2 linked regions of the Notamacropus eugenii genome follow. The protein of the gene in region 1 interacts with the protein of each later gene in a biochemical or structural test. Links are inferred from orthologs where the notes say so. Each region holds a gene or a part of one and is shown on either strand. Other genes may lie near its edges.

Evidence for each region. The genes of interacting proteins can lie anywhere in the genome.
Region 2: the proteins of COPS7A (region 1) and COPS4 form a complex in vitro, tested with the Homo sapiens proteins (2 studies listed by BioGRID). The link is inferred for Notamacropus eugenii from reciprocal best matches to the Homo sapiens genes COPS7A and COPS4.

Annotation. Positions count from the first base shown.
Region 1 is NC_092874.1:194,985,052-194,992,628, reverse strand, and holds the start of COPS7A (COP9 signalosome complex subunit 7a), read right to left. Parts: upstream 3,002-7,577; 5' UTR 2,821-3,001; intron 2,443-2,820; 5' UTR 2,400-2,442; coding exon 2,238-2,399; intron 1-2,237.
Region 2 is NC_092878.1:150,618,950-150,626,191, forward strand, and holds the start of COPS4 (COP9 signalosome complex subunit 4), read left to right. Parts: upstream 1-4,238; 5' UTR 4,239-4,368; coding exon 4,369-4,442; intron 4,443-7,242. UniProt on the Homo sapiens protein: Component of the COP9 signalosome complex (CSN), a complex involved in various cellular and developmental processes.

The DNA of each region.
Region 1 (7,577 bases):
CTAATCCCTCTTGATGGCAGTATTGGGCATTACTGATCACCATCTCCTCCATATTTTCCCCTCTCTGAATATTCATGGCATGAGTCTCTTTACTGCTTGACTGCTCCTTCTATGACACTTTTGCCAATTCATCATCCATGTCATACTCAATGGGGTACAGGTGGTGTACCCCAAGGATCTGGGCCTCTTTTATCTCTATTTTCTTTCATCAACTCTCATGGGTTCAATTACTATCTCCATGCAGAGGACTCCCAGATCTATACATTCAGCCCAATTCTCTCCCCACTAACTGAATAAGCGGTACCAAATAGATGTCCAACAAACATCTCAAACACAATCAAAAACAGAACTCATTATCTTTCTGTCCAGACTCGCCCCTCTAGTAGAAGTCCCTGTAAGGGTATCTCTTGATTTGCAACCTCATTATTATCCCTGACTCTTCCTATTACCTTACATAGCCAAACTTGCCAAATCCTGTCATTTCTATAGAATATTTCTACAACATCTCTGAAGTCCTTTTCTGTCTTTCCACTCACACAACACCCTAGTTCAGATTGTTCATCTGAACCCTCCTCCATTCCAGTCTTATTATCTCCAGTCATCCTGATGAATATCTGGTCACTGGATTCAGATGGCTCTGAAGGAGAAGTGAGGCTGGTGACTTGCACAGCCCTCCCTCACTCAAAACAAGACAAGTGCAAGACATGTCATCATTTTTCTGATGGCATGGTCTTCTTCAGCAACGAAGGATGAACACACACCTGCCTTATTACGATGGCCTCCTATTTAGTCTCCTTACTTATGTGTCTTCCCATTCCAAACTTTTCTCCATAGACCTGACAGTGATTTCCCCAAATGCAGGTCTGACCATTGTCAACTCCCTAGTTAATAAACTCCAAGGTTTCCATACTCTCTCCACAATCAAATATTAATTCCTTTCTTTGGCATTTAAAGTCTTTCACAATGTGGCCCTGGCCCACTTTTCCATACTTATTATATATTACTTACTGGCTTCTTGCACTCTATAGTCTAGTCAAACTGGTCTCCTGACTGTTCCTCACATGCACACAAAAACAAAACTACACTATACAAATATGAACAGAAAATTAACGCACCATCTGTTAAGTAGAACCATATAAAGAGGAATGGATTTATACTGAAAATGTTCTCCTGGGTTGAAATCAGAGAACATTCACTTTTGCTTGTATTTGCATTGTATATGGTAAATACTTACACAAAGAATTATAACTCTAAATTAAGTTAGTATGCTCACTATTTATTGTATATCTTTCTACAGAAAAATATATTAAAATATATTTTCAAAAAAAAAATTCAATTGTTTGGCTAACTACACTGATCCCATAATAGATTACTAACCAAAATATTATTTACAGGACATACACAGGAAAATAAGTAAGTGCAAACAAGCAGGATACTCTCATTGGACTGACATTAAGCATAAAAACTGCTATGGTACTAAAAAATGTTTTAAATTTCAAAACATTTCATCTTTATCTCATCCTTTTCAAATTCTTATTTTTGTATATGTTTCATAAAGCATATTTGTACAGTAATTCATGCATATAATTTAAAAATACATATATTTTGGGGTGTTTGTTCAAAAAATGTTTAACTGATGGGACTGGGCACAGAATCAAAAAAAATTGGAAGATCTTGTGCCCCTTGGTTGTTTGTTAGCTGTTCGGTGGTGTCAGGCTCTGTGACCCCATTTGCAGTTTTACTGGCAAAGATACTGACTGGAATGGTTCCTTCTCCAGTTCACTTTACAGATGAGGAAACTGAGGCGAACTGGGTGAAGTGACTTGTCCAGGGTCACACAGCTAGTGTCAGCAGCCAGATCTGAACTCAGGAAGCTGAGTCTTCCTGATTGCATGCCTGGCACTCTATTTTGCCACTGCCCCTTACGTGGTACTTTTTCACAGGACCACGCCTTTCCCATTCCTCTTTCGCCAGCTATCTGCCTAGTTACCTACAAGAACTTGTTAATAATAATGGAAGTGATTCTCTTATACGTCTCCAGCTTCTCAACAACAGCCTTCGCTGCTGAGAGGCCTCGTAGCCCTAACCTCGGCGGACCCTGCTGGGTTTGGAGGCAGATATACCGCTCAACAGTGGCAGTCACCGGCTGCCACTCTGCGCTCTGATCTAAAGGGGGAGGCAGGGACGGTGGACGGAGCTTCCTAAGAGGGTCCTCGAGGCTCTTCACAGGTACCCACCTCTCGGACGTTGGGCATGTCCAACAGCTCCCCGAAAACGTAGACGCCTGGGGCCTCCAGCACCTGGTGGATGAGGGTGGCCAAGGCGGCGCCTTTGGCCGACTTGGCCAGAAGCAGGAACTGCTCCTGGTTCTGCCCTGTCACCTTCACCTCGGAGCTCATGGCTGGCCTGGGCGGGGGACCACGGGGCTCGGGAGGCCTGGAGCTGCAAGGAAGCAGGAAGGACCACGTGGGGGGAGGCCCTTACAAATGGAGGCTCGTCAGAGGAAAAGACTCGGACTAGTGTTGCGGGAGACAGGGGCAACCCCCGCCCCCAGCCGCCCTCTCGGGAACGTAGGGTTAAGGGGAAGGACTGGACCCTGCTGCTCTGCCAGCTCCCCCCCTTCGAGGGGAGGGGCGTGCGCGTGCGAGGCACGTGCCCCCTGCTCGCCTCCTGGCCCGCGTGACCCCCGCCCCCTTCTCGCTTTCCGCCGGGCTCCGCCCCCGCCCCTCCAGTCTCCCCCCGGCCCTTAAGGGGGCCGACCCAGGGGCTGCGGACTCTAGCCCAGCAGCCCCAAAGCGGGCTCTGTGGGGCAGCAGCTACCTGTCGCCTTCGCCCTTCGCGTGCACTTAGAGGGATGGCCCCTCCCTCACCTCCGCCAGCTGCTAGAAACCGTTACCACTGCCTCCCTCCGTGGCCACTCTGGCCACAAAACTCTATGACCCGCTCCCGAGGCCCCCACTTCCGCTCCTTTACGTCACAGGCTCCGGAAGTCTCCCGGGGCGGGATGCAGAGGGCTCTCCGGCCCTTTCTACGTTCTGATTGGCCATCATCGGGAGAATGGCAGGCGACTGCTGGGTTTTTTTTCTCCTTGACTTTCAAAAAAACTTTATTGTTTAGAAATGCTGTGTGATAATTGCAGACGCCTCTGGATTCCACAAGTTTGAGCGTCCCGCACTTCCCGTTAGGGAAAGCCTTCCGGGAAGCTGTCCTGGCGGCGTGATGGCGGGCTTACCGCGGTAGATGCTGCGTGGGCAAGAAAGGGACGGGGAAGAAAAGGAGACAGAGCCGGGAGAAGAGGGACCTTCGGGGCTGGAAAGGACCTTAGAAGTCATCTAGTCCGACCCATTATTTTTTCTTAAAAAAAATACATTTTACTGATGCCTTTTGTCTTTGCATCAGTCACTTCCTCCCCCGCCTCTACTAGATTGAGCAGTCCCGTGAAAAAGATAAACAATTAAGCGAAAACATGCACATCTTGCTTTGTCTGACGAGGTCTATGTCCCCCATTTCTCTGCAGTGAGGAAGGAGCTCTTCGGAGTCTGTTATTGGGATTTAAAAAATTGTTTTATTGATTATATTTTTTAATATCGATGTCCTAATGATTCTCCTCTCCCTATAGAACCTTCTCTTGTAACACGGAAGCATAGTTAACTAAAATAAATATTTTATAAACTAATATATTAGCCATGCCTGAAAATGCATTTCTCATTTTGTAGCCTATAGTCCACCATCTCTTTTATGAGACTCTAAAGTCATAATCTGTCAGAGTTATGAACTTTCAGTTTTATTTTCCTTTACATTATCGTAGTCATCACGTCAATTGCTTTGATTCTGCATCAGTTCATCTCAAGCTTGTTTGAATTTTTCCTATTTCTATTTCATTTGACACAATAATATTCCATTACATTCATATAACCAATGATCTGTTCTGACATTTTTCCAGTTAATATCGATTTATTTCCACATCATTACTAGGACAAAAAGTCTTCACGTTCTCTTCATTTTATTTTTTTTAAGGCTTTGTCTTTGTCTTTGTATTACAGCCATTTCCCACCCCTTCTCCTGAATGAATTTTCCTTTGTAACAAAAAAGCCATTAAGCAAAAACATCTGACCATGCGAGACATAGGTACAATAGTCTGTCCTCGAATCATCCCTCTGACAGTCAGAAAGGAGGTATGTTTCATCATCTCTTCTCAGAAATTGTCATTCCATTATTCCTTTTATTAAGACTACTACAGTGTTGTGGTTCTGTATATTTTTCTTTTACTCCTGCTTATTATATATTAGTTCATATAAAATCTTCCCATAGTTCCCCAAATTCTTCATGGTCAGCACTTTTTCACTTCATTCATATTCTATTACATGTAACAGCTCATTCTTTTAACAGCCTCCAACTGAGGAGCACCTACTTTGTTTTGTTTGTTTCTATCACAAAGAGTACTTGGTATTTTGTTATATTTTGGACCTTTATTCCTTGTCTTTTACATTATGTACCCAGCAGTGAGACTGCTGGGGCAAAAAGTATTAATTTAGTTACTTTTCTTATATGATTCCAACTAGAAATCCAGAATGGTGGTACTTCTTAGCTCTATGACTAGAATATCAGTATGCCTAACCATCATCCATAGCCTCTCCAATATTAACTCTTCTCATCTTTTTTCATCTCTGCCAATCTGCATGGTGTGAGTTTTTCTTATTTGCATTTCTCTTTCTATTAGTGATTCATGTTTTGATTTGATAAATGTGTAGTTTGCAGTTCTCCTCTTGAAAATTGTTTATTCATATCCTTTGGTCAATTATGTACTTGGGAATGGCTCTTGATGCTATAAATTTGTGTCATTTCCCTGTCCAACCCCCTTATTCAACAGGAACATAGACCTTAAGTGGCTGAGTAACTTGCCAATGGTCACACCAATAGTAAGTAGGATAGTCAAGATTTGAGCCCAGCTCCATTGTTCCACATTTTGTTACTCATTAATTGTGTGCCCATGGGGAGGTTATTTGACCTATGTCTCAGTTTCCTCATCTGCAAAATGACAAAGTTGAATTAGATCCTAAATTCCTTTCTGACTCCTAAGAGGGTATGATTCTATTTATGAACTGGGAGAGAGGAAGGGAAGTAAGGACAAAGGGTGATAAAAAAAAAAAAAGATAGGACAGCAGGTAGTAGAGATGAGAGAGGGATAGATGAGAGGAAAGCAGAAAAGGCAAATGAGAAAGGTGATAAAAAGTGAGGATAAAGAAAGAGGATAGAAATAGAGAAGACAAATAGAGAAACAGCAGAAGATAACAATTGAGTCTTTCACTTTGTACAGTTCCCCAAACAAGTAATTCATTTATTCATTCACCCAACAAAAATTAACTCAACGTCTGCACGGGGCATTCTGCTAATAAGGCTGAGGGGGAGCTTGGAAAACATAACTAATCAGAGAAAGAAAATGTCTAACAGAGACCTGAAGAAGAAAAGTACTGAGAACTAAAACAGACCTATTCAACCAGTCATCTACTGAAAGTTATGTTAAATTGTTATGCCAAATGCTGGCATATTGCTCAGTTTTATGTAAAGAAACATCACAGCACAAATGCGAGGATTATAAAAAATACCAGGAACAAAAGGGATTTAAGAAATGACTCTAAAGAAATGTAGCAAAATCAGCAGATGGAACTCAGCTAATGACCCAATGTCCTACACGCTTCCCTCCCCCCCCAACACATGGACATATATAAATACACAAATTTTACAGATTGGGAATACCCATTGCACATACACATATCCCAGGCAGAAACCCAGCATACACATATATCCAAAGTACATACTGAACATACACACATGAAAAGGGGACTTACATCTAGCATGGCACAACCAGGGTACATACCAACAGCAGACAGAACACACACTAAGTGTTCCAGTGTGCACAACTGACTCTTCTTCACTGAGCTGTGTGGAACAAATTGACAGAAACACAACAGCGTTTGATAACTTCTGGGAGCCTATCCTCAACAATAATCTCTCTTCTAATTCTGGGTAATAACCAAATGGTAGGCAAAGGTAAAAGATGGGAAAGAAGCTTGGCATATAACGTTAGATCCTGAATACGAAAATATTGATGAAAAAATTAAGAGAAAGAAATTGGGGGAAAAGAGATAGGGGACAGAGAGTTTTACAATCAGAGATGAAAATCATTCAATTAAGAAGCATTTATTAAGTGTTCACTATTTGCCAGGCATTATGCTAGATGTTTGGTTTCGAAGAGAAAAATAAAACAGTTCTTGATCTCAAATAGTTTATATTCTTTGTGGGTGTGGGAGTGTGTAGGAAAGAGTAGATGGAGAGGCAAATAGAAAATGAAAGACTAACCCAAGGATGGAAGAAGAAAAAGGAAAGAAAGGAGAGTGGAGGGTGATCTGAGTCACAGGAAAGTTTCCTAGAAGCCAAGTCCCTGCCTCATATATATCAGTAATTCCTGAGGGCTATACATTCACAACCCAGGAAGTTGTTAATAGGATTGGGATTTTTACACTGTTTTTCTAGGCCTTGTCCCAAGGAGAAGAAAGAAGGTGGTCTGGTAGGGGATATGAATTGAGATCACATGGAATTAAGTGATGCAGAACTGGGGTGCCAGAGTTCAGGTGACCCTGATGTGGGGGACATGAAGTGAGATGGAATTGGGGTGACAAAGTGGGAACATAGGAAGTTGGAACGATACTCAAATGAGGTGATACGCTTCTTATGGTGAAGAGTAGGTAGATATACTGAAAGTCATATAGGCACGACCTGGAATCTCAGGATGACCAACAGCCTTCCTCTACTCCACATCCCAGACCATCCGGGGATCCCCGGATCCCCAGCGGCATGGGAACAGGAGGGTTAAATAGTGCGTGGCAGGCGGAGACGGAAGGTCTGAGCTGACGCCTAGCCAAGACAAGACAAGACGAGCTGAGCAGAGCTGAACTGAGCCTCTGCCGCCGCCCCACACCCGGGGCGCCTCCTCCCGCGCCCCGCCCGCTAGTCCCCTGACCATGCGCCTGGCCTGGCGCCCCCCGCAGCCCCCTAACCCCTCACAGCCTCTAGCCCCCCTAGTCATCCCGAAACATCAGCCACGGAGCAGGTGAGTGCGACACCCTGCAACCTCCATCCCTCATCCCAGGTGCCCAGGCTCTGTCCTTCCTGGCTCCTGCGTCCTTTCCTAGCCTGCTTCTTTTCCAGCCCCCAATTTTCCATCTGTCTTGTCCCTATTTCTCATGCCTCCATCCCTCCTTCCCCATTTCTCTTTCCATCACCACCATCACCATTTCTATCCATCTAGATCCGCATCTTTCATTCATCCATCTAGATCCGCATCTTTCATTCCGTATCTCTATCTCCATCCTTTATTTTCCGGCTCCAGCTCTCTGGTCCCAGCTGTCGCCATCCCTTTTCCCCTCTCCTTGCCTGCATTCTCCGTCTCCCCATTCCTCCTCCCTTTTCCCATCCCTTCTCCTTCGCTCTCTTCCCTCTTGTTTTCCTTCTTTTCCTTTCATTGGCCTCTTCCTCCTCGGTGACTCTCCCCTTCACCCCCCTTACTGTCCATCTCT
Region 2 (7,242 bases), on another chromosome or scaffold:
TTACACACATCTATTTTATTTTTTCAATTAACCTTGTTCTCCAGGAAGTACAAGAAATAGTCACATCCTATCTTTTGTATCTCCAGAGTTTGTGGCAATACTTTATACACTACATAGGCATTTAAGAGATACTGATTAACTGTCACAGTCAGAAAACAAGTAATAAGACATTAGGGGGCCAGGAGGGTCAGCTGAGGGGACAATAACTCACATTTTCAAAGCTAGTCAACTGTCAGGTTTGGGCATATTAACAATTACATTCCATCACCTTTAGAGGTCATGTGGTACAGTGGAAAGAGCCCAGCTCATACAATTAGGTTCAAATACTACTTCTTTAACTGGGTAGCCTTATTCAAATCACTTAATCTTCCTCATGGGTAAAATAGGGGTGTTGGTCCCTTCCTACAACCCTCTGATCTGTCCACAATACTGTTTCTGCAGTTGGGAATCTAAGATCTCCCTGTATTCCCTTGTGAGCTACTTCAGCAAAGAAAAGTTTGTATCTATGAATTTCAATGATCCATGTTTTCCCATTCAGATTACCAGGTAACTAAGAACTGGCTGAATTTCCCTTCTGGTTTAAAAATATACAATAAATGCATTTCGATAAATAAGAATGGCCCAAGTACATAAGTGACTGATTTATAAGATATATGTTTATTTCTCTAACAGGGGACCGACTGGTACATGTGCAGAGCACTTCTGATGGGGTACCTGCTTCTGGGACCGTCATAATGATTGATCTTAGAGAGTACTTTGGAGCAGCACAGACATTCTGTAACTGGTTTGGATCCACTAAGAACATGGTGGATGGAGGCCTTTTTGGTTGCTGTTGGAGAATTAGAATTGAGGACACCTTCCAAAGGCCTTGGTCTCCTTTTTGGAGGATCTCTGTTCTTGGTTTGACTCCTTTGCAGATAGTGGCCTGGGAGAGCCTATGGTACAAGGAGAGAGGCTTGGGTCCTCCCCTTCTAAGGCTGACATGTGGTCCTGTGAAAATGGGGCTAGGGCTGTGGTCTTTTGTTTTAGGTGGAGGAATTGAAGCCAGGTCCTTGAGTTTAAAACACCAAAACCAAAATCAGGAGTCTGGGTAGTACAGGAGTTGAGTCTATGCTGGGTTTTTTCAGCTAGCCCAGTGTTGATGTCCCAAGGAGTAATATTTGGGACCAGTCCAAAAGGACTAATTCGCAGTGATGCCCCATTTGGGTGTGAACTTGGTGTAACCAATGCTATATAGAAACAGTGCCACTGTCCCCAGAAGCCAAGGTGGTTCTGAGCGTGCCCTGCAAGGTGCCAGGAAGGGGAAAATGTTTGCACTTTTGTTCTTCCTGTATCTTCAAAGTCTATCTTCCTCTGAAAAATTGTTTCATGGTGACATGGAACTGGGGTGCTGCTGGTCAGTCTCTGCTAGAGTAGAGGGTGACAACAAGTGCAGTACAAGTTAATGACAATGGAGAAAAGTCAACCAGCTTTTGGGTGCAAACCCCTAGAATAGTAAGGGGGCAATGAAGTCATTTTGATTCTGGCAAAGTGGGTCAAACTCTACTTGCTATCCTCCAAACACCTATAGTTAGGGCAAGCCAAAAATATTTGATGGTCTCACCACTGTCTTTTCAAATTCCTTTAAAAAAAAATCGAGTTATACTAGTTATGTAGCCAGAAGGTGACAGTAGAGAGGACTGAGACAGAAAAAGCAAAAGCTGGATGGTGTACATCCTATAAGGAGATTCCTTCCATTTTGGTGCAGGATAGACTAGAAGGGTTCTGAGATCTTTTCAGCTCTAAAGGTTAGCATCCTCTGATCTGTGTGCAATTGAGGAACTGTCTTGTTCTTTTTGGTCTCAGAAGGCAGCCCTAGAGCACTGGGTGAAAACTGCGGAGGGAAATTTAGATCTGATGTAAGGGATGACTTTCTAACAATTACAGCTATCTCAAAGTACAATGGCCTCCCCCATGAGGGAATGGTTGCCAGTCACTCGATTTCTTCAAGCAGAGGCTACTCAGAATGATCACTTGTGTGTTGTAATGAGAATTCTTTGATGACACTATTTAGACTAAGTGTGCTATATAGTTCCTTCCAATGCTGAGATTCTGTGAAATATATTAAAAGTCACCTAAAGCATGTGGAAAAGGCAAGGTCCACACAGGTACAATACATGGTATGTTGTCTCATCTGTACCTTGTAAGCTCCTGGATTCTGTGGCCCCAGAACCAGAACAATGCAGAGCACAGCAGCAGTTTTGATTTACAGGTGAGAAAATTCAACTCATAAACTGAAATGTTGGAGAGAAGAACTTGAAAGAGATTTAGGAGGACAGAAATAAAGAGTAAAAACCTGGCATTAAAGTTAGAGAAAGGGGAAGAAAAGAGCTGCAACAGAGAAGAAAAAAGCTACTTCATTTGTAAATTACAACTAACCTTATTTGTAAAGAGCAGGGTGGGAAGGAAGAGAAAAAAATGTCAAGGATATAAGTTGGAGAGAAATAAATATTTAACATGAATACGAATGGGATGAATTCACTCAATAAAATGGAAGAGAGAAAAACGAATTAGAAAAAAAGAATCCAACAATGTTTAAAGAAACACTAGAAACACAAAGATTCTCAAACAGTTAAAATGAAGGGTTGAAGCAAAATCTATTCTACTTGTCCAGAATTCAAAGTAAGAAGAGACAGCCATCATGATTTCAGGTAAGGTTATAGTAAGTATAAACATAATAGAAACAGATAAACAGATAATTTACATTATGCTTCAAGGTACCACGGATGAGAAATTAACTTCAATACTTAACATGCATACACCTAATAGCATAGCATCTAAAAATTTAAAGGAAAATTTAACTGGAGAGCAGTAATAAATAGATAAGGGCTGAGAAAACTGGGCAGCAGCCTGGCAGAAACTAGATTTCTAACCCTGACACTGTATAACCAAGATAAACTACAAATGGATACACAATCTAGAGGAAAGCACAACATAAATTAAAGAAGCAGGGAAGAAACTGCCTTCCAGATCTATGGATAGAGGAAGAGTATATTAATAAATAAGCATTAAGAGAGGTTCATATGATAGAAAATGAACAATTTTGGTTGCATGAAATTAGCTTTTGCATGAAAAAAACCTGTCAAAAATGAAAGAAAAGAAAACCATCACAAATAGGCATGGTCCAGCACAACATATTCCCATTGCATTTTGAGTTGGTTATCTTTGGCAGGAAGCCAGTGGTGTTTTCATCTTCAGTCTTCTGGACTCAAGGCTTTTCTCATTGCCTTGGTTACGGTTCAACTTTCAAAGTTTTTTCTCTGTGATATGTTCATTTATAAATTACTCTCCCAGCCTTTATTTAGCTCAACTGAGTTCATAGGGATCCCTTCAGTTTTCTTTGAAACTATCCATTTCATCATTTTTTTGGGCGCAATAGGATTCCATTAAACTCACATCATTTATTCATATAATAGGAGGAAAGCTGCTTAGTTTCTGAATTTTGGTTACAACAAAAAGAGCTGCGATGAATATTTTTTCCTCTTTCTTTGATTTCTTGGAGGCAGAGTCCTGGTAGGGACAAAAGTCGGTGACAGGTGGAAAACACTTTAGTAACTTTCTGGGAATGCATCCACTTGCTTTCCAGACTGTCTGGCACAGTTCACAGCTCCACCAGAAGGGCCCAGGTAGGTCCTTGTTCTTCCACAATCCCTCCATGGAGTCATTTCCATCAGCCATTTTTAATCTCTGTCAGTGTCCTGAGTGTGAGGTGCATCTTCCAAGTTGATTTAATTTGAATTTCTCTAATTATTAGAGATTGACAGTATTTTTTCCCCAAAGATGATCGACAGCTCGGATTTTTTTCCTTTGAAAGTCATTCACATCATCTGAGCATCCGTTTGTTGGGGGGCGGCGCTCAAGTCTTATCAATTCAGTTCCGTATGGGTCTTGGCTACGAGGCCTTGATCAGAGAAACAAGCTGGCATTTTTTTTCAAACCTTAAAGGGCCATGGAAGCGTTGGTTTTAAGACTGTTGTTGTTTTTATCCCACCTGTAACACCTGCTGCCTCTTTCCACCACGTGTAAAATAAGGAGGCCCCCCAAAATCCAAATATTCCCTCCCGTTTCCTAAACAGAAACTTAACTGGCTGCCTGCCCCTGTCCCGCCCCTGTCCCGCCCCTGTCCCGCCTCCGTCTTCCGGCTCCGCCCACACTTCCGGTGGTGAGAAAGGGAAGAAGGCGAATAGACGCTCTAGCCTGCTCCCGCCTTCTCGACGGCACTTCCGGTCCCTCTAGCCGAACGCTGGAGGCTTCCACTCGTTCTCTCTTCCGGGAGAAAGAGTGACGTCCTTTGCCGGGGCTGGGGGCGGGGTCGGGGCCGGAGCGAAGATGGCGGCGGCGGTGCGACAGGACTTGGGCCAGCTAATGAACTCGAGCGGGTCTCACAAGGACCTGGCGGGCAAGTGAGTGCCACCCCGGGGGAGGCGGGAGCGGGCGGTGCGGAAGAGCAGGAGGGTCTCGGGCGCGGCTGGCGGCCGCCGATGTCGGAGGCGGGGCCCGCCGGGGCCTCCGGAGGCGTTGGGATGGGGAGCGTGGAGGGGGAGGGGAGCGGGGGCGCGCATGCGCGGCAGGCCCGGCCGGCTCGGCGCTGGAGCTCTGTGGGTCCCGCTCGGGGCTCCCGGGAATGCTGAGCGAGCTCGGAGCCGGGCCTCGGACCCTCCTCCCTTTGCCCCTGTACCCGGAGATCTGGGGTACAGCCTCTGACAACGCCCCCAGACCGTGTCCCGCTTTCCTCGGCTGCAGCCCTGCCGCCTCTCATGTAGTGTCTCCCTTAATCCCGTATCTTGTTGGTGCCTATTAAATGCTTGTCTGACCGAGAAATTCTGGGCCCCGAGCCTGGGCGGTCATGCAGGCAGCCCTTCTTGCCCAGGGCCATTGTGCCAAGGAAGCATGCTAATCACGGAACGTTTATTAAGCCTCTCCCCTGTGCCGGGCACTGTGCCGAGCCCTGTGCCGAGCCCTGGGGAGACGGGGTAAGGAGACAGCCCCTGGGGGGGTTACAATCTAAGGAGTTGCTTCCCAGAGAGGGGATGAATCGTCTGTCCTGGGTGTTGGAAAGGCCTTGATGATAAAGGTCTGCATGGTTCTGAAAGGGGAAGGGGCGTGGGGGGAGTGGTAGAAAGGACACCAGATTTAGAACCTGGGCCCTGGGTTCAAATTTCGCCCTCCTTCAAGTTTGGTCAAGACTCATAACTGTTCTGAGCCCTAGTGTCCCCGTCTGCCAAGTAAAGGATTGGACGAGTTGATTCGGAAGCCTTTTCCAGCTGTAAATCTGAAGTGCTTTCCAAAAGCTCACAGTCTGCTGAGGGAATACCACGAGTGTAGAATAAGTGCCATAGACGATCGAATCCTTGGTGTCCTTAAGAGTTCAGCTCTTGTTTACCTGCTTCCAGAGGCTAAGACCCACCTGCCAGTAATTGAACTGTCAAAGGATATGAATAGACAATTGTCAAATGACGAATTGCAGACTGATAGCTACAGGAGAGAAGGCTTCAGATCAGTGATAAGAGAAACACAGATCCCAACAGTACTAAGGTTTCATCTCATACCCAGAAAATTGGCATAGGTGACAAAAGGAATAAGTATTCAGTGTGGAAAGACAGGCACACTGATACATTGGTGATGAAACTGTGAATTAGTGCAGCCATTCTGGAAACTTGGAATGATACACATAAAATGGCATATTCCGAGGAATTCATTGATAAAGAGAAAATCTCCATATACACCAGAATATTTGTAGCATCGCTTCTTGTGATAGCAAAGGAGAGGAAACACAAGATTGCAGACTTGGAAAAATTTCCAGATTTGCTAGGGATAGCCAGAACGCTCGAGGACAGTCAGGATTCAAAACATTCTTGAGAGGCCAGAATGTTTGCTCAGTTCTTATAGTCTGAGATTTAATAGGGATGAATATAAAGTCTTGCAGTTAGATTAAAAAATAAACCGCACAGATACAAGGTAACAGAATGTGGTGGACTAAAACAGTAGAGGACATTTTTAAAATAAATATGAAACATCAAAACTTGGTCTTATTTGGGAAAGAGGAAAGGCAACAGGTTGTCTTGCTGGATGTTGATAGGTGTAGACCTGTCAACCCCCAAGATGGGGCGTAAGGGGAGAACAGATGCACGAGTCACGCTAGGTGGTCGTCTGCCTCGGCCTCCTGTGTCTGCTGGTATGCTGTTAATGGATTTCATGCTTGGTGTCTGCTGGTGCTGTTATCTGCCACTATTCCACCCAAAGGGCATATTAGGCTTGCTGTTTCAATGTAGACTGGTGCCAGATTGACTGTCTCTTAGTAGATACCCCACTATTACTGCATTACATTTATTTGTAGACAAATTTGTAGACTATTACTGCATTACATTTATTTGTACAGTAAGTATGTCAGTGGGGCACACGTTAACTGAACAGCAGTAATAACTAGTCAGGAAATAGCACTTTAGGATATTAGGAAAGAAATTAGTTTTGTCAAAAAGTGAAAAGACCAATAATTGGTTTTGCCGAGAACATGAGTGGCTTCATATGCCCCATAGGAATAAATAAATGTAAGAATGAATCTCAAATATTCCCTCTAGTAAGTGTGAGTGTAGGATTGTGTCAGCATATTAAAATCTGGGTCATGTGCTGGAGTTGTGATAGTGGACAAACTTTTTGAATAAAAGCCCGACTCACCTCTGACATTGTCTTCTGTAAATATAATCCAAAGAAGAAATGCTGATTGACTCATGAAACAAATGTGTATTTTACGAACCCATGTCACATCACATTCATAAACAATCTGAGAAACGAGTCATCAAGATAGCATATTGGGATACAGATATCTTGGGAAGTATAAGGTTCCCCACAGTGAAGATCTTTAAGAAGGCTGGATAAATACTTGTTCTCTTATTGAGCACAGGTGTCAAGCAGCCTACTGAATTAAATTAGATTAATTAGATGTATATTAGATTAATTAAATTTGATGTAATTGGGAAATATTTAACAAAATAAAAATACAACATAGGTTACGTTACATTTTAAATCTAAGTCAACATGAGATAATTTTCTCATCCTTTTCTAATATTTGTCTACAGTTTATTATGTTTGATTGCATAGTTTAAAATACTAATTAGAAGGGTGAAAAGTATACCGTGATTTTGCTTTTGACAGTAGTGAACTTTGGTATTCACTCAACAAACATGAAGCACTTCCTATGTACCA